3 linked regions of the Macaca fascicularis genome follow. The protein of the gene in region 1 interacts with the protein of each later gene in a pairwise test. Links are inferred from orthologs where the notes say so. Each region holds a gene or a part of one and is shown in the gene's direction. Other genes may lie near its edges.

Region 1 (5,840 bases):
CCCAAGGCTCTCCTGCTGCACACTGCCAGGCACTGTCTTCATGGACCCATACTTCCTCCCACATTGCTGGGCACAGAGCAGGGCCTTACCAACAGTGACTCCTCTTTGTTAGGATCTTTGTGTGTAGTCAAAACAAAGACCCATCTCCTCATTACTCCCCTAGGTGTCTACCTCTTCCCACCCCATGGGCAAACCTCCATGGATGACTGGTCTGTGACCCTCACCAGCTGGCTCAGTCATTCTGGACACAACCAGAGCCCTCCCCTCTTCTTCCCTTGTCACCAGCCTTCATCTGTGAGACCACAGATGGTATGTCACCTCTTCATGCTCCCAGTTTGGGGCCTACCCAGTGAGGGGCACACTAGTTGATTCCATACACCCTCAGCTGGCTTTGTTTAGAATGTGAATGTCACAGTCAGGTGCGGTGGCTCATGCCTGTAATCCCAGCACTTTGCTGGGAGGCCGAGCCGGGCTGATCACTTGAGGTCAGGAGTTTGAGACCAGGCTGGCCAACATGGCGAAATCCCGTTTCTACTAAAAATGTAAAAAGTAGCCAAGCGTGGTGGCATGTGACTGTACTCCCAGCTACTCTGGAGGCTGAGACAGGAGAATCACTTGAACCCGGGAGGTGGAAGCTACAGAGAGCCAAGATCACACCACTGCACTCCAGCCTGAGTGACAGCGAGACTCTGTCTCAAAAAAAAAAAAAAAAAAAAAGGATATGAATGTCACCTCCTTTCCCTTCTCCATGGGACAGCCCATATCTGATCAAGGCCCTGGGAATCCTAGCCACAGTTCAGGCTCCTGAGCAGGCCTTGGCAGCCTTCCATAGCTCATCACCGACGTCTGCCCCCTGCCCAGACACGCTGCGCTCAGGGACTATTCCGACAGGAGAGGACGCCCCGCTGCAGCTCCCCCCAGTGCCCCGGGTGAATGAACGGCATGAAGGATTAGGCGGGCACACGTTGTCTCTGTACGCATCGCACGGCGCCCTCTGCCCGCGCCCACTGGCGTGCCCGTCGGCATGCCCGGGCCCCTTCGAAGGCTGCTTGCTTCTGGAGTGCCAGCGGCCTCCTGGCCCAGTGCCCCATTTCCTCCCGGGTAGAGTGAGGGAGGAGGAAGGGAAGCAGAGAGGTAGGCGGTGGGAAGCAGCAGGCACATGTGCGCGGGCGAGAGCCCTGCAGACTGGGAAGAAGGGCCCGTGGCAGGGGGTCTGCGGAGATCCCATAGGCGCGGGCCTTGCCCCGCAGCCGCTTCCCGAGCAATGCGCACACAAAGCGCCCCCGGCAGTGCCTGGCCCCGGGCCCGCGCTCTCTTAGGGTCCGCTGCCGGGGCGGCCGACCGGGATGCGGCCGGGAAACCCTAGGCTCTGGGGCCCAGGAAAGGGGGGCGACGGCGGGGAGCAGGGATGTGCAGGGACCGGGCGAAGTCCAAGTGACTTAGGGACCAGAGCCACCCCAAGCGCCGACTTCGCCCGCTCGCACGTCCCGGGTCCCTAGCGCGCAGGCCCCATCCCTCTCACCCGGCTGGCTCAAGCGCGCCACAGGGTGACGTCTTGGCTCCCAGCCGTGTCGCCCTCACTCCCGCGCGGGCCCCGCCCCCTGCCGCTAGCCAATCTGTGCGTTTGTGACTTTTGGGCCCGCAGCCCCGCCTACTCCCACTGCGATACCAGTTTGCATTGCCCTGACTCCCGCGCGGGCCCCGCCGCCTACGCCGCTAGCCAATCCGTGCGTTAGTGACGTGTGGCGCCCCTCGCGGCGCGGCTTGCTCCCACCGCGAGACCTTCTGCCCCGCGCCCGCGCGGGCCCCGCCTCCTCCATCGCTAGCCAATCCCCATGTTTGTGACGTAAGGGCTCTCCGCTCCGCTCGCTCCCAACGCAAGACCTTTTGCTCCGCGCCTGCGCGGGCCCCGCCCCCTCCATCACTAGCCAATTCCCGTGTTTGTGACATATGGGCTTGCGGCCCCGCCCGCTCCCACCGCGAGACCGGTTCCCACCACCCTGACTCCCGGGGGCCCGCCCTCTCTGCCGCTAGCCAATCCGTGAGTTGATGACGTTTGGGCTCGCGGCCCCAGCCTCCCAGCTCTCAAGGCCCGGCCGGTCTGTGCCGGCTACTCCCGCCGTTTGGTCCCGCCCAGCGCAGCGCGCGCAGCCTGCGGAGCCAGCGGCCGTGACGCGACAGCGATTCGGCTGTGACGCGAGTGCGGCCGCTCCCGATGCACTCGTGCCGCCCCCGCCGTGCTCCTAGGCAGCCGTTGCTCGGCCGGTTTTGGTAGGCCCGGGCCGCCGCCAGGCCTCCGCCCGAGCCCGCACCCGCCATGGACGACTACGCAGATCTTTCAAATACCGAGCTGACCGCCTTGCTGCGCCGGTACAACATCCCGCACGGGCCTGTAGTAGGTACGCGGCGGCGGGCGGGACCCCTTCCGGGCCCCCTCCTCGTGCTCCGCCCCGCGACCTCCCCGCTGCCCTCCCCGCGCCCCTTCCCCGGACTGCGGCCCTGACCGCCCCGTGTCCGGCCAGGATCAACTCGTAGGCTTTACGAGCAGAAGATCTTCGAGTATGAGACCCAGAGGCGGCGGCTCTCGCCCCCCGGCTCGTCCGCTGCCTCCTCTTATCGCTTCTCTGGTGAGAGCCTCGCCTGTGGGGACGGCCTGGGACGCGGGGAGGATGAGGTAGCGAGGGTGTGGCAGGGGTGCCGGTCGAGAGCGGCACTGGGGAAAGGGGAGGGAAGCCTTGGGGTGGGGGTGGGGGGGCAAACAGTTCTGTCTCCTCCTTTCAATCCAGAGTTGAATTCGACGTCAGGGGATTCAGATATGTATGATCTTCCCAAGAAAGAGGACGCCTTACTCTACCAGAGCAAGGGTAAGGCAGGGGTTGGGTGGGCACGCTGGCACCTTCACCCGACTGCGTCAGGGACCCCGCTCACAGGGAGGACCTGAGACCTCAGTCCCAACCACTCCAGCAGCCTTAGGAGGGAGAAACTGTCACAGGTCCCGAAATGGGATTCAGATTAGGGCCATCGGGCCAGGCGGGGCACACCGATGCCCCCTCTGCTACCGCTGCCCCCCTTCCCAAGGCTACAATGACGACTACTATGAAGAGAGCTACTTCACTACCAGGACTTATGGGGAGCCCGAGTCTGCGGGCCCGTCCAGGGGCTTCCGCCAGTCTGTGACTTCACTCCCAGATGCTGACACTTTCCACCACCAGGTGAGCTGGCTGGCAGGCGTACTGTACTTGGGTACAACCTAGGGGATCGCGGCTGTGTTTGGATAAATCCAGGGGGCCACTGGGTACAAATGGTGGCCCTTGGGCCTCTGGGGAGACTTTGGCTCAGCAGACACCTGTTTGGTCAGGGTCCTACTTTGGGGAGCCCTCAGAACTATGTGACTAGAGCACATAGGATGCGTCCTGCACCCTGGTCTGGGATCTAGGCTCCAGCTCTTCCTGAGAGTCCTGGGGGCAAAGGGGGATGCTGGGGCATGAGCACAAGTAGCAAGGCCCCATGGATAAAAGGCCGAACACCCAGAGTCATTCAGGAGGGTGTGGGTCCCTGGCCTTTAACCAAAGGTCAGAGGGGACCTGCTGGGGAAATTTGAGAGGGACGTGGCAGGGCCATTGTGGCCCTGCCAGCCAGTTCCCTCACCTTGACTCTCTTCTACAGGTACGTGATGACGACCTTTTGTCGTCTTCTGAAGAGGAGTGCAAGGATAGGTATGTATGTATGGGGAAGGCCAGGGACAGGGGCTGGTTCTGGACCCAGGCTCCTGGCCCACCTGCTCCCCTCTTTTGCCTCAGGGAACGCCCCATGTACGGCCGGGACAGTGCCTACCAGAGCATCACGCACTACCGCCCTGTTTCAGCCTCCAGGAGCTCCCTGGACCTGTCCTATTATCCTACTTCCTCCTCCACCTCTTCTATGTCCTCATCATCTTCCTCTTCATGGCTCACCCGCCGTGCCATCCGGCCTGAAAACCATGCTCCTGGGGCTGGGCTGGGCCAGGATCACCAGGTCCCACTCTGGGGCCAGCTGCTGCTTTTCCTGGTCTTTGTGATCGTCCTCTTTTTCATTTACTACTTCATGCAGGCTGAGGAAGGCAACCCTTTCCAGAGGGAGCCATGAGGGTCTGGGCTTCAGAGCCAGGTCTTCTGGGGAAGTCCTGGCTGACTGCCTTAGCAGTGGGGGTGGGGGTGGGTGTGGGGGCAGGGGCAGGGGCAGGGGCTTTTATGTGTTCTTGCTTGGGGGGCGCTGGGCCTAGCCCAGAGTAGTGCTTGCTCCCCCTGCCTTGTCCCACCAGGGAGGCAGCAGATTCAGGCCCTCCATGGGGGCCTGAGTGTGCTTTCCTCGGCAGCCTCCTGGCCCTGCTTGCCTGTAACCCTTAGGGTCCAGGAGGGCAAGGCCTCGCTCAGTCAGAGGAGAACATGGTTCTTGTTGTCATGCATGCCTCCTTTTTGTCATCTTGTTGGGGGGGATTAACCAAAGGCCACCCTTTGTTTTCGTGGACACACAATAAAAACCCCATTTATTTTTAATGCGTTGGCTCTTCCTGGAGGAGAGGGTTGGGCTCCCATGGCAAGGGCCTCTGCGTCTTGGGACTCGAGGATTGCAATCTGGCTTTGTTGGGTCCGCATTTTTGCTTTGGTCTGGGGATAGGAATCAAATGCTACCCAGAGATGTTTGTGTTTTGTTTGGGAGTTTTATTCCCTAACTCATTCCCCAAAGCACCTGTAACTGCTTATACATATAATTGTGGTACAACAAGGCGTATACAGAGAACCCACTTAGAAATTCAGGCAAAGCAGCCGGGCGCAGTGGCTCAAGCCTGTAATCCCAGCACTTTGGGAGGCCGAGGCGGGCGGATCACGAGGTCAGGAGATTGAGACCATACTGGCTAACACAGTGAAACCCCGTCTCTACTAAAAATACAAAAAAGTAGCCAGGCGAGGTGGTGGGCGCCTGTAGTCCCAGCTACTCGGGAGGCTGAGGCAGGAGAATGGCGGGAACCCGGGAGGCGGAGCTTGCAGTGAGCTGAGATCGCACCACTGCACTCCAGCCTGGGTGACAGAGCAAGACTCCGTCTCAAAAAAAAAAAAAAAAAAAATTCAGGCAAAGCTGCATGCATGCTACCAGCAGTCTGTGGGTGTTTTAACTGGAAAAAGCTGAAGTCCACCCCAGTGTCCAAGGGCATGGGGACGGAAAAAAAATGAAGCATCTCTGGCACATCATTCTCAGCTCCTGGAACTGCTGCTTGTTTAACATGGGAGAAAAGCTCCAAAGGCTGAAATGCCCCATCATCCCTGGGTGATGGAATTCACCTGCCTATATTCTCACTTAGCTCCCAGGTTTTCTGCCCTGGGTATGTATTTCATAATCTTCTATATATACATATATATAATTTTTTTTTTTTGAGACGGAGTCACTCTGTCACCCAGGCTGGAGTGCAATGACGCCATCTTGGCTCACTGCAACCTCTGCCTCCTGGGTTCAAGCAATTCTGTCTCAGCCTCCCTAGTAGCTGGGACTACAGTCACACGCCACCATACCTGGCTAATTTTTGTATTTTTAGTAGAGATGGGGTTTCACCATATTGGTCAGGCTGGTCTCGAACTCCTGATCTCAGGTGATCCACCCATCTTGGCCCCCCAAAGTGCTGGGATTACAGGTGTCAGCCACTGTGCTCAAAGTTTATATTATATACACACATATATACATATATATGCATACATATACATAGATATATACCTGTATATACATATATATATTATTTTATTTATTTTTTTGAGATGCAGTCTTGCTGTTGCCAGGCTGGAGTGCAGTGGCACAATCTCAGCTCACCG
Region 2 (4,222 bases), on another chromosome or scaffold:
GCAGGAGAATTGCTTGAACCTGGGAGGCGGAGGTTGCAGTGAGCCGAGTTCATGCAATTGCACTACAGCGTAAGCCACAAGAGCAAAACTCTGTCTCACTCTGTCGCCCAGGCTGGAGTGTAGTGGCACGTTCTTGGCTCATTGCAACCTCTGCCTCCTGGGTTCAAGCGATTCTCGTGCGTCAGCCTCCCGAGTAGCTGGGTTTACAGGCACATGCCACCACACCTGGCTAATTTTTTATATTTTTGGTAGCGATGGGGTTTCACCATGTTGGCCAGGCTAGTCTTGAACTCCTGACCTCAAGTGATCCACCCACCTGGGCCTCCCAAAGTGCTGGGATTACAGGCGTGAGCCACTGTGCCCAGCCAAAATTCTCTTATTCTGACATCTTGGACTCCCCAAACCCTCTGTCCTCTACTCATTCCCATCTGTATGTGTCAAGCTCCAGACACAGGGCCTTGAGCTGTTGTCTCTCATCCTGAGTAAATGCCATTTATCTTCAGCCCTACTGCTTGAGAATCCATCCTCTGCTTTTCCCTGCTGATTCCTCGTCCTTTTTCTCCTCAAAGAACAGAGAAAGAAGCAGTAGCAGAGAAAATGGTGACAAACTCTCCACATGTTAATAAACGTGATCACAGCTATGTTTAAGTCTCATTACCTGCCTCACGTGTGTCAAAACTTAGAATTCCAAAGAGCCACGTACATCATCCAACCACCACAGTGAGTAGCATCCAGACAAGGTGAATTTTACAAGGTTACAAAGCTGCTGGGTTAACTTGTCCCAATCCAGTTTCCCCTCCACTATTTTAGCTTGAACTTCTTGGGAATTTCCTGACTGCATCATTTGTGATGGCTTCATCTTAATGCACACAAATTCGTTCCCTTTAGTTTTTCCCTAAATTTCCTAGTCTGGTTGACTGGATAAAAAATGTGTAGAAGATTCTGCCTTCTATTCCTTCCTTCATCCCCCAGCTACCCACCTTTATACCCCCTCCTCATTGCTCTAGAAAGGAGCAAATGCAGAATTGGCCTCATTCCAGAATCTGAGAAAGACACCAGCTACTTCAGAAAAGCAGAAACTCTTTACAACACCAGGATTGGGAAGAGGTGGCTAAAGAAAAAGGAAAATCTTTGCACAAAGAACTACCTGATACACATGAAAGCCTACACTGAGAACATCTCATCTAGGTCTTACCATCAAAAAGGAATTTTCTTTCCCTTCATAGAAACCACAAAGGTCTGAATCTGACCCAGAGGACTATCCTTGTCTAATCGTGGAAAGGAATCTTGACTTGAAACTGTCCAAGAGCTTCGACCAATCCAGTAGCAAGAGAAAGGGTGGCCAGGGTGCCTACTGATGGGAGGAGCTCCTGAGCCCAGCCCTGGAGGCCTCAGAGTTCAGAGGCTCACTCAGATGATGCCAGAGAGTAAGAGAGAGGAACCGGGGTTTGCAAACCTTGTGGCTTTGTCTGTTTCCTGTTTCAGCAAGGCTGCTGTGCAAAAAGAAAGACAGTACCAAGAAGGGACGTGTTAATGGGGCCCAGACCTATGGATTGAAAGCGTGTGCTTTACCCATCTGCTGTCTTGCTCCATCTGAGACCAGAGCCAAGATCTGCCCAGGAGCTGGAATGCTTTCCTGAGTGGCTTGAGTCGGAGCCTGGGACTCGGAGGTAACTGAGAAGGAGGATGCTTTTGTGTCCTGGTTTGGGAACTCCAACTTTGGGGTGGGGCAGAAGATGCTCTACCATCCCAGCTCTCCTGGGTGAAGAAAGAGCAGGTGGCATAGTTTAAGGGTGTTGGGGGTTTGGGTAACCAAGAAAGTATCCTGTGTTGGTTTCCCGTGGCGCTAGCCTTGGCACAGGGTACAGCTTGCACCACTCCTCTGTTCCAGTAGATTAGATTAGATTACATTAGATTAGGAGTAAGTCAAATGACTTAGTTCAGGCTACCCAGTGATATGGGCATGAATTAAATGACCTTTTATAGTTTTCTTCAAAGCGGGGATCCCTGAACACAAGACTGCCTTCCCAGCAGCTCAAGCGTAGGCCCCTCTCCCCTCAGTTCCCACTGAGAGCTCTGGGCCAGGAAGGCCACCCATGCAGGAAGCCATTCATTGCGTCTGTTGCACACACGGCCAGGAAGTAAAAGTGAGACTCGGAAAGGCATGTCAAGCCACAGTCAGGTGAGGAGCCATGCCCTGTTCTCTCTCTGCAGCCTGAGAGACCAGACTGAGCCTTCCAAGCCAGTAACCCTTCCTCCAAGCTCTAAGTGAGCCCAGTCATGCTGCCAGGTGGGAATGTCAGAGATGCCAGAAAGCCTGGGCAGTGACCCAGTGATCTTTCTTTGAACTCTACAGGGACCAGTTCCCTTTTCTTTAGCAGCCTATCCCTGTCAGCCATCCTGCATACCTTCCTGTTTTTAAGCAAGTCAGTAGGGTCCAGATATCCCAGAAACCGGGGTAGGGTTCTATGCAGCATGCTGCACCACATCCTAGCAGTTGTGGTAGCCAAGGCATCTGGGAACACTCCCGTCTCTAAGAAGCCATTTCCACTGCAGCTCCTTTCTTGGGTAAGAAGACTCAATGTCTGCCCCGAGGAAGCAGTGAGCAGAGCAGCTGTGTGTTTCAGTGGATGAAGGTGGGTGGCCTAGGTGGAAAGCCCAGAGAGACCTCATCTCAGGCCCTGTGTTCTCCCCCATAGCCCTTTCCTCTTCATGGCAAGAAGGTAGGAGGATTCTCAATGTTCTGCCTCCACTACAAAACCTGGCGGGAAGCTGGAGCCAAACAGGGAGGGAACCTCACAACTTATGTGTGACACAGGCAGACCCCATCTCTTCCTTACCTTTCTGCTTGGTGTAATTGGGATGGTGATTATGTCCAGATCACAGAGAAGCCCTTTCTCCTTATAGCCCAAACCCGGGGTCAGAAGAAACAGAGAAGTAAATGTGACTCCAACCTTGGTCCAGCATCCCCTCAATCTGATAAACAATATACTCTGTCAAAGAGAGAGGGTTGAGAGGATGAGAGAAGGCATTCTTGGTCTTAAGAGTGCTCATTTAGCTTGGAGCCTTTGTCTTATAGCACCAAGTCCTCAATATCCAACATCAGCATAACAAGGATAATATTTGGTTTTTGCCATTACTTTTAATGGCAAAAATGTCATTTAATCCTTATAACCTACAAGGCAGGTTCTAGCCCTATTTTATTTTATTTATTTTATTTTATTTTATTTTATTTTTGAGACGGAGTCTTGCTTGTCGCCCAGGCCGGAGTGCTGCAGTGCAATGGCACGATCTCGGCTCACTGCAAGCTCCTCCTCCCGGGTTCACGCCATTCTCCTGCCTCAGCCTCCCGAGTAGCTGGGACTACAGGAGGCCGCCACTATGCTTGGCTAATTTTTTGTATTTTTTAGTATAGACCGGGTTTCACTGTGTTAGCCAGGATGGTCTCGATCTCCTGACCTCATGATCCACCCGCCTCAGCCTCGCAGAGTGCTGGGATTGCAGGCGTGAGCCACCGCGCCCAGCCAATCTAGCCCCATTTTATAAATGAAGAGACTGGGGCTTAGAGATGTTTAATAGCTTACCTAAAACCACACACAGGTAGTAGGTGACAGAGCCAGGATATGAGTCCACACAGTGTGACTCCAAGAGCCAGGGTTCTCCACTGCAATCCATGGCAGAATAGCCAGGGGCTGTGACTCAGGGATGCTGTGAGTGTAGGTTCCAGAGATGGAGTTCACATGCACATAATCCTGGGTCTCTTCCATTCAGTCATTTATAACAACAGACATGGGTCTGTCAGACCCTTTTTTTTTTTTTTTTTTTTTTGAGACGGAGTCTTGCTCTGTCACCCAGGCTGGAGTGCAGTGGCCGGATCTCAGCTCACTGCAAGCTCCTCCTCTCGGGTTCACGCCATTCTCCTGCCTCAGCCTCCCGACTAGCTGGGACTACAGGCACCCGCCACTTCGCCCGGCTAGTTTTTTTTCTGTATTTTTTAGTAGACATGGGGTTTCACCGTGTTAGCCAGGATGGTCTCGATCTCCTGACCTCGTGATCCGCCCGTCTCGGCCTCCCAAAGTGCTGGGATTACAGGCTTGAGCCACCGCGCCTGGCCCAGACCCTTTTTTTTAAGTCTCTAAATAAAGAAAGTGGCAGGGAGAAAGTCAAGGGACCATCCCCTAGGCCCACTCCCACCCTTATCCAAGAAGGAGTAAGTAGAAAC
Region 3 (4,124 bases), on another chromosome or scaffold:
CCCTCCCCTCTTCAAAAAAGGAGCAGTGTACACCTGACAGAAAGTTCTCTTCAATAAAGTTAATGAAACAGGAGTATTTGAATTCGAAGAATCTATTATTAGACTTTTAGACACTCCATGAAAGAGTGTGGGCCCTGTTACTTTAGAAATATACTTGGGGACTGGCAAAAACTGTCATCCCTGATTTTAATAGTGGACACATTTACTCCCTGCTTCCATTCTCTGGGCTACTCTGCGCTCTTGGAGCGAGATGGGAAATTTTGTCAGGCCGCAGCAAGGGCGGATTTATACTGATGGTCCTCAAACTTGCCCCGGGCTGCTTCCAGAAAGCTAATCGGATTATTTGTACTCGGTTCCCAGCAATATCCTTTGCAGTCAGCTTGTCGCTGGCGCGGATCGCAAGAACTGAAACGCCTTAAGGGTGGGGACGGCGCCCCCTGCTGGTCGCGCCCTCGGGCGACGGTAAGAGATTGAGGACTCGAGCCCGCGCGGGGAAAACGGCTATGGGCTTGGCTTAGGGATGGTTCGCCTAAGCCTGGTAGGAGCAGGACCGCCGGGGCCTTGTCCGTTCTGTGGTTACGTAGGTCATAGAAGGAAAATTGGTTTGTGATCTGATGGGGAATCTGTGAGGACAGACCCAGGGAGGGCAGAACTAAGCGCACCGCCGGGGGGGTCGCCAGAATTGGAGGCGTGTGCGCCTCTGACAAGTATTTGCAACGTAAGTATGCATATGGATAATGTATCAATACACATGTGTAATAGATGCCAAACAAATTATTCAAATAATTGTCACACATTTAAATTTTCAGACATTCACAAAATCAAATGTAAAATATTAAACTGAAAGTTCGCAATTTAAATTTTCAAAAATTAAATCTAATTTCCAAAATTAACCGTTTTCAAAATTAAATTTTAAAATATTCAAAATTCCAAGGTAAATTTCCAGAAATAATTAAAACTTCAAAACTCAAATCTTTTAAATGAAATGTATAAACTTTAAAAGGTGAGTCATTCCTCAGCTGGAATCGCAACCAGGGCCCTCGAATAAAATGCTATTTTGATCGCTAGAACACACAGAAACTTCCCTAAAACTGCTCTACAAAATTCCCTAAAAACCCGGCATCAACCCGCCTTTAGCGGCGTTCTATAGGGTAGGTTGTATCTGGGGATCTGCCTTTTCTGGTTCTGCCTGTCCTGAGTTGGAGATGTAACAGGGAATCTGTGAACCTAAAACAAGCTTCCTATCCCGCTTCCACGCTCTAAATCTGGCTTTCCACCTGACACCCCACTTCCGCCCTCTCCCCTCGGCCTTCCCCTTGACCCGACTGCATCGCCAATCATATCCTTTCATTTGTCATCACCGCCTTGGCCCCGCCCCCTCGTCTCAGGCCGTCGCACACGTTTTGCGTCAGTAGGCAAGGCACTTTACGGCCGTCGTGCCGCTCATGTCAGTCAACATGGAGGCAGAGGAATCGGAGAAGGCCGCAACGGAGCACGAGCCGCTGAAAGGGACAGAACAGACACTAGACGCGGAGGAGGAGCAGGAGGAATCCGAAGCAGCGGCCTGTGGCCGCAATAAGCGGGTAGTGCCAGGTATTGTGTACCTGGGCCATATCCCGCCGCGCTTCCGTCCTCTGCACGTCCGTAACCTTCTCAGCGCCTATGGCGAGGTCGGACGCGTCTTCTTTCAGGCTGAGGGTAAGTATGCAGACCCTGACGGTGAAAGGAGGAGGTTGTCGCTCGCTGGCGGGGTGCAAGCATGGATGTCCTGTTGCTTCGCTGCGCAAGACTGAGGCACGAGTTGTTGGATTTTGGGGGTGGGGAGTGCGGTGCTCGGCTCCTGGCTGGTGAATCAGTCTGTGAGGATGCTGGGGTGGGTGGGCGGAGGGGATATGGGGAGAGTGGGTAGCGCAGTGCGTCTGGTGGTTCTTTAGTTCTCGGATTGTTACTATTCGTGTTCTTATCCCGGCCCTGCTCACCTCTCTTTCCGGATCTGTTTACTGGTTTGTTACATGAGTACAACAGAGTAAAAGCCTCGTTAGCTTTTCTACAAAACTGAACATACCCCTTTAGCATCGCGGCCTAGGTCAAGAAACTGATCAACCGCCCTTCCTCTTTCCACCCTCAATTTTACATTGAGGTTGGGGACTTGCGCGGGTGTTAAATAGCGTTCAAAGCCGGCCAGATTAAGGAGTGGACAATTAAGGAAATAATTGAGTTAGCTAGAGGAAAGGGTGCAATTTACAGTTCCCTCCCTCCTGGGCAAAAACTCTCAGGTGGAACTCCCGCTGGCAGATGTGAAGAACGATGCGGGCAGTGGGAAGTGGTTTTGAGTGAGTGCTGCATAGTCCCTGACGGGTCTTTTTGTCTTTGGCGCTCAGATCGGTTCGTGAGACGCAAGAAGAAAGCAGCAGCAGCTGCGGGAGGAAAAAAGCGGTCCTACAGCAAGGACTACACCGAGGGATGGGTGGAGTTCCGTGACAAGCGCATAGCCAAGCGCGTGGCGGCCAGTCTACACAACACGCCTATGGGTGCCCGCAGGCGCAGCCCCTTCCGTTATGATCTTTGGAACCTCAAGGTGAGGAGATAGATCTTTCTGCCACACCTCTCACCCTCCCTTCTCCCCAGCTCTGGCCCAGGTATACCCATGGCTTCTCATTGGTCTTGTCCCCTGTCTCATCTTTCTCCCTAATCTGCACTATCCTGATCTTTTCTTATTTTCTGCCCACAGTACTTGCACCGTTTCACCTGGTCCCACCTCAGTGAGCACCTTGCCTTTGAGCGCCAGGTGCGCAGGCAGCGCCTGAGAGCGGAGGTTGCTCAGGCCAAGCGTGAGACCGACTTCTATCTTCAAAGTGTGGAACGGGGACAACGCTTTCTTGCGGCCGATGGGGACCCTGCTCGCCCAGATGGCTCCTGGACATTTGCGCAACGTCCTACTGAGCAGGAACTGAGGGCCCGGAAAGCAGCACGGCCAGGGGGTCGTGAACGGGCTCGCCTGGCGACTGCCCAGGACAAGGCCCGCTCCAACAAAGGGCTCCTGGCCAGGATCTTTGGAGCCCCACCACCCTCAGAGAGCATGGAGGGACCTTCCCTTGTCAGGGACTCCTGAGGGCCAGGGTGGCCCCTTCCAGCTCCTAGCCCTGCTCTGCTTCCTGTCTACCTCATACTAGAATGATCGTGACTATCCAGGCAAACATTTTACTGTGTTTCTCAGACCAAGTGTCTCTGCTAAGGGCCCAAACGTGCAAGTTTTGAGGGCTTCCACTATCCTCACTCCGAACTCCTGTATATGCCTGGCTGAGTCACCTAGTTCATACTGTCATACTAGCATGATTATGACTATTGCATATGCTTGTTTTGTTTGACTCTTGGCTGCCTACGTCTATAGGGTCCCCTAAAAATCCCACGTTCTGCCCCCAGGAATGGGCCTTTATTTCCAACTAGGGGGATAATGCCTGCAATAATCCCGGCAATCTTTCTCTGTTTAGCAGTCACAGGTGAGGGTGGTATTAGCATCTTTTTTATGTAGAAAAAATTGACAGTTAATGGCGTGGACTGAGTTGGGAAGAAATACATTTCCTAATGTATTTATAGAAAATAAAAATATTTTTTATGCCTTTTTATTTTTGTTGGGGAGGGTCATTGGACAAGTTCCAGCTTTCATCTCCTTGTGTTCACCTTCATCTCCTGATCTTAGAGCCCCCCCGCCACCCACCTTACTGTTTAACCTGGATTTTTTTTTTTATTTAATTTCTGTCTATTATCTTAGCCCAGTTTATCAATTAGTTATCTTAAGTCAGCATTTTCTAAGCCATTGTTTGAGGAAACAATGACAATAGGTAATAACACATCTTAGTATTAAGAGTTTTACAGGCCACTAGTATAAGATAGGCATCGTGGTAGATGCATATACCGGGTGGAATGGGGGCCACAGCATGTCATAGAGCCCCTCTCAAGGGGGACGTGATTGATGATCACAGTCTTCAGTGGTGAGTCAGTCCTCACCAAGTTTTCCAGGTCATTCCTACAAAATAACTGTAAGAATAATAAGAAGTTTGAAAGAGTCTGGAGTGCTCCCACAATTGCAAACAATGCTTCCTGGGTGGAGTGTTGAGTTGGAA

What was found.
Region 2: the proteins of EMD (region 1) and TRAF3IP3 interact in binary tests that used the Homo sapiens proteins (3 or more experiments, as listed by UniProt). The two-hybrid records come from large-scale screens. The link is inferred for Macaca fascicularis from reciprocal best matches to the Homo sapiens genes EMD and TRAF3IP3.
Region 3: the proteins of EMD (region 1) and ABT1 interact in binary tests that used the Homo sapiens proteins (3 or more experiments, as listed by UniProt). The two-hybrid records come from large-scale screens. The link is inferred for Macaca fascicularis from reciprocal best matches to the Homo sapiens genes EMD and ABT1.

The regions. Positions count from the first base shown.
Region 1 is NC_088395.1:160,349,177-160,355,016, reverse strand, and holds EMD (emerin), read left to right. Parts: upstream 1-2,165; 5' UTR 2,166-2,317; coding exon 2,318-2,399; intron 2,400-2,522; coding exon 2,523-2,627; intron 2,628-2,786; coding exon 2,787-2,864; intron 2,865-3,078; coding exon 3,079-3,212; intron 3,213-3,666; coding exon 3,667-3,716; intron 3,717-3,800; coding exon 3,801-4,125; 3' UTR 4,126-4,535; downstream 4,536-5,840. UniProt on the Homo sapiens protein: Stabilizes and promotes the formation of a nuclear actin cortical network. Stimulates actin polymerization in vitro by binding and stabilizing the pointed end of growing filaments. Inhibits beta-catenin activity by preventing its accumulation in the nucleus.
Region 2 is NC_088375.1:67,578,998-67,583,219, forward strand, and holds the start of TRAF3IP3 (TRAF3-interacting JNK-activating modulator), read left to right. Parts: upstream 1-1,422; 5' UTR 1,423-1,670; intron 1,671-1,986; exon of another isoform or gene 1,987-2,061; 5' UTR 2,062-2,096; coding exon 2,097-2,182; intron 2,183-4,222. UniProt on the Homo sapiens protein: Adapter protein that plays essential roles in both innate and adaptive immunity. Plays a crucial role in the regulation of thymocyte development.
Region 3 is NC_088378.1:146,290,979-146,295,102, reverse strand, and holds ABT1 (activator of basal transcription 1), read left to right. Parts: upstream 1-1,450; 5' UTR 1,451-1,457; coding exon 1,458-1,698; intron 1,699-2,381; coding exon 2,382-2,578; intron 2,579-2,731; coding exon 2,732-3,112; 3' UTR 3,113-3,624; downstream 3,625-4,124.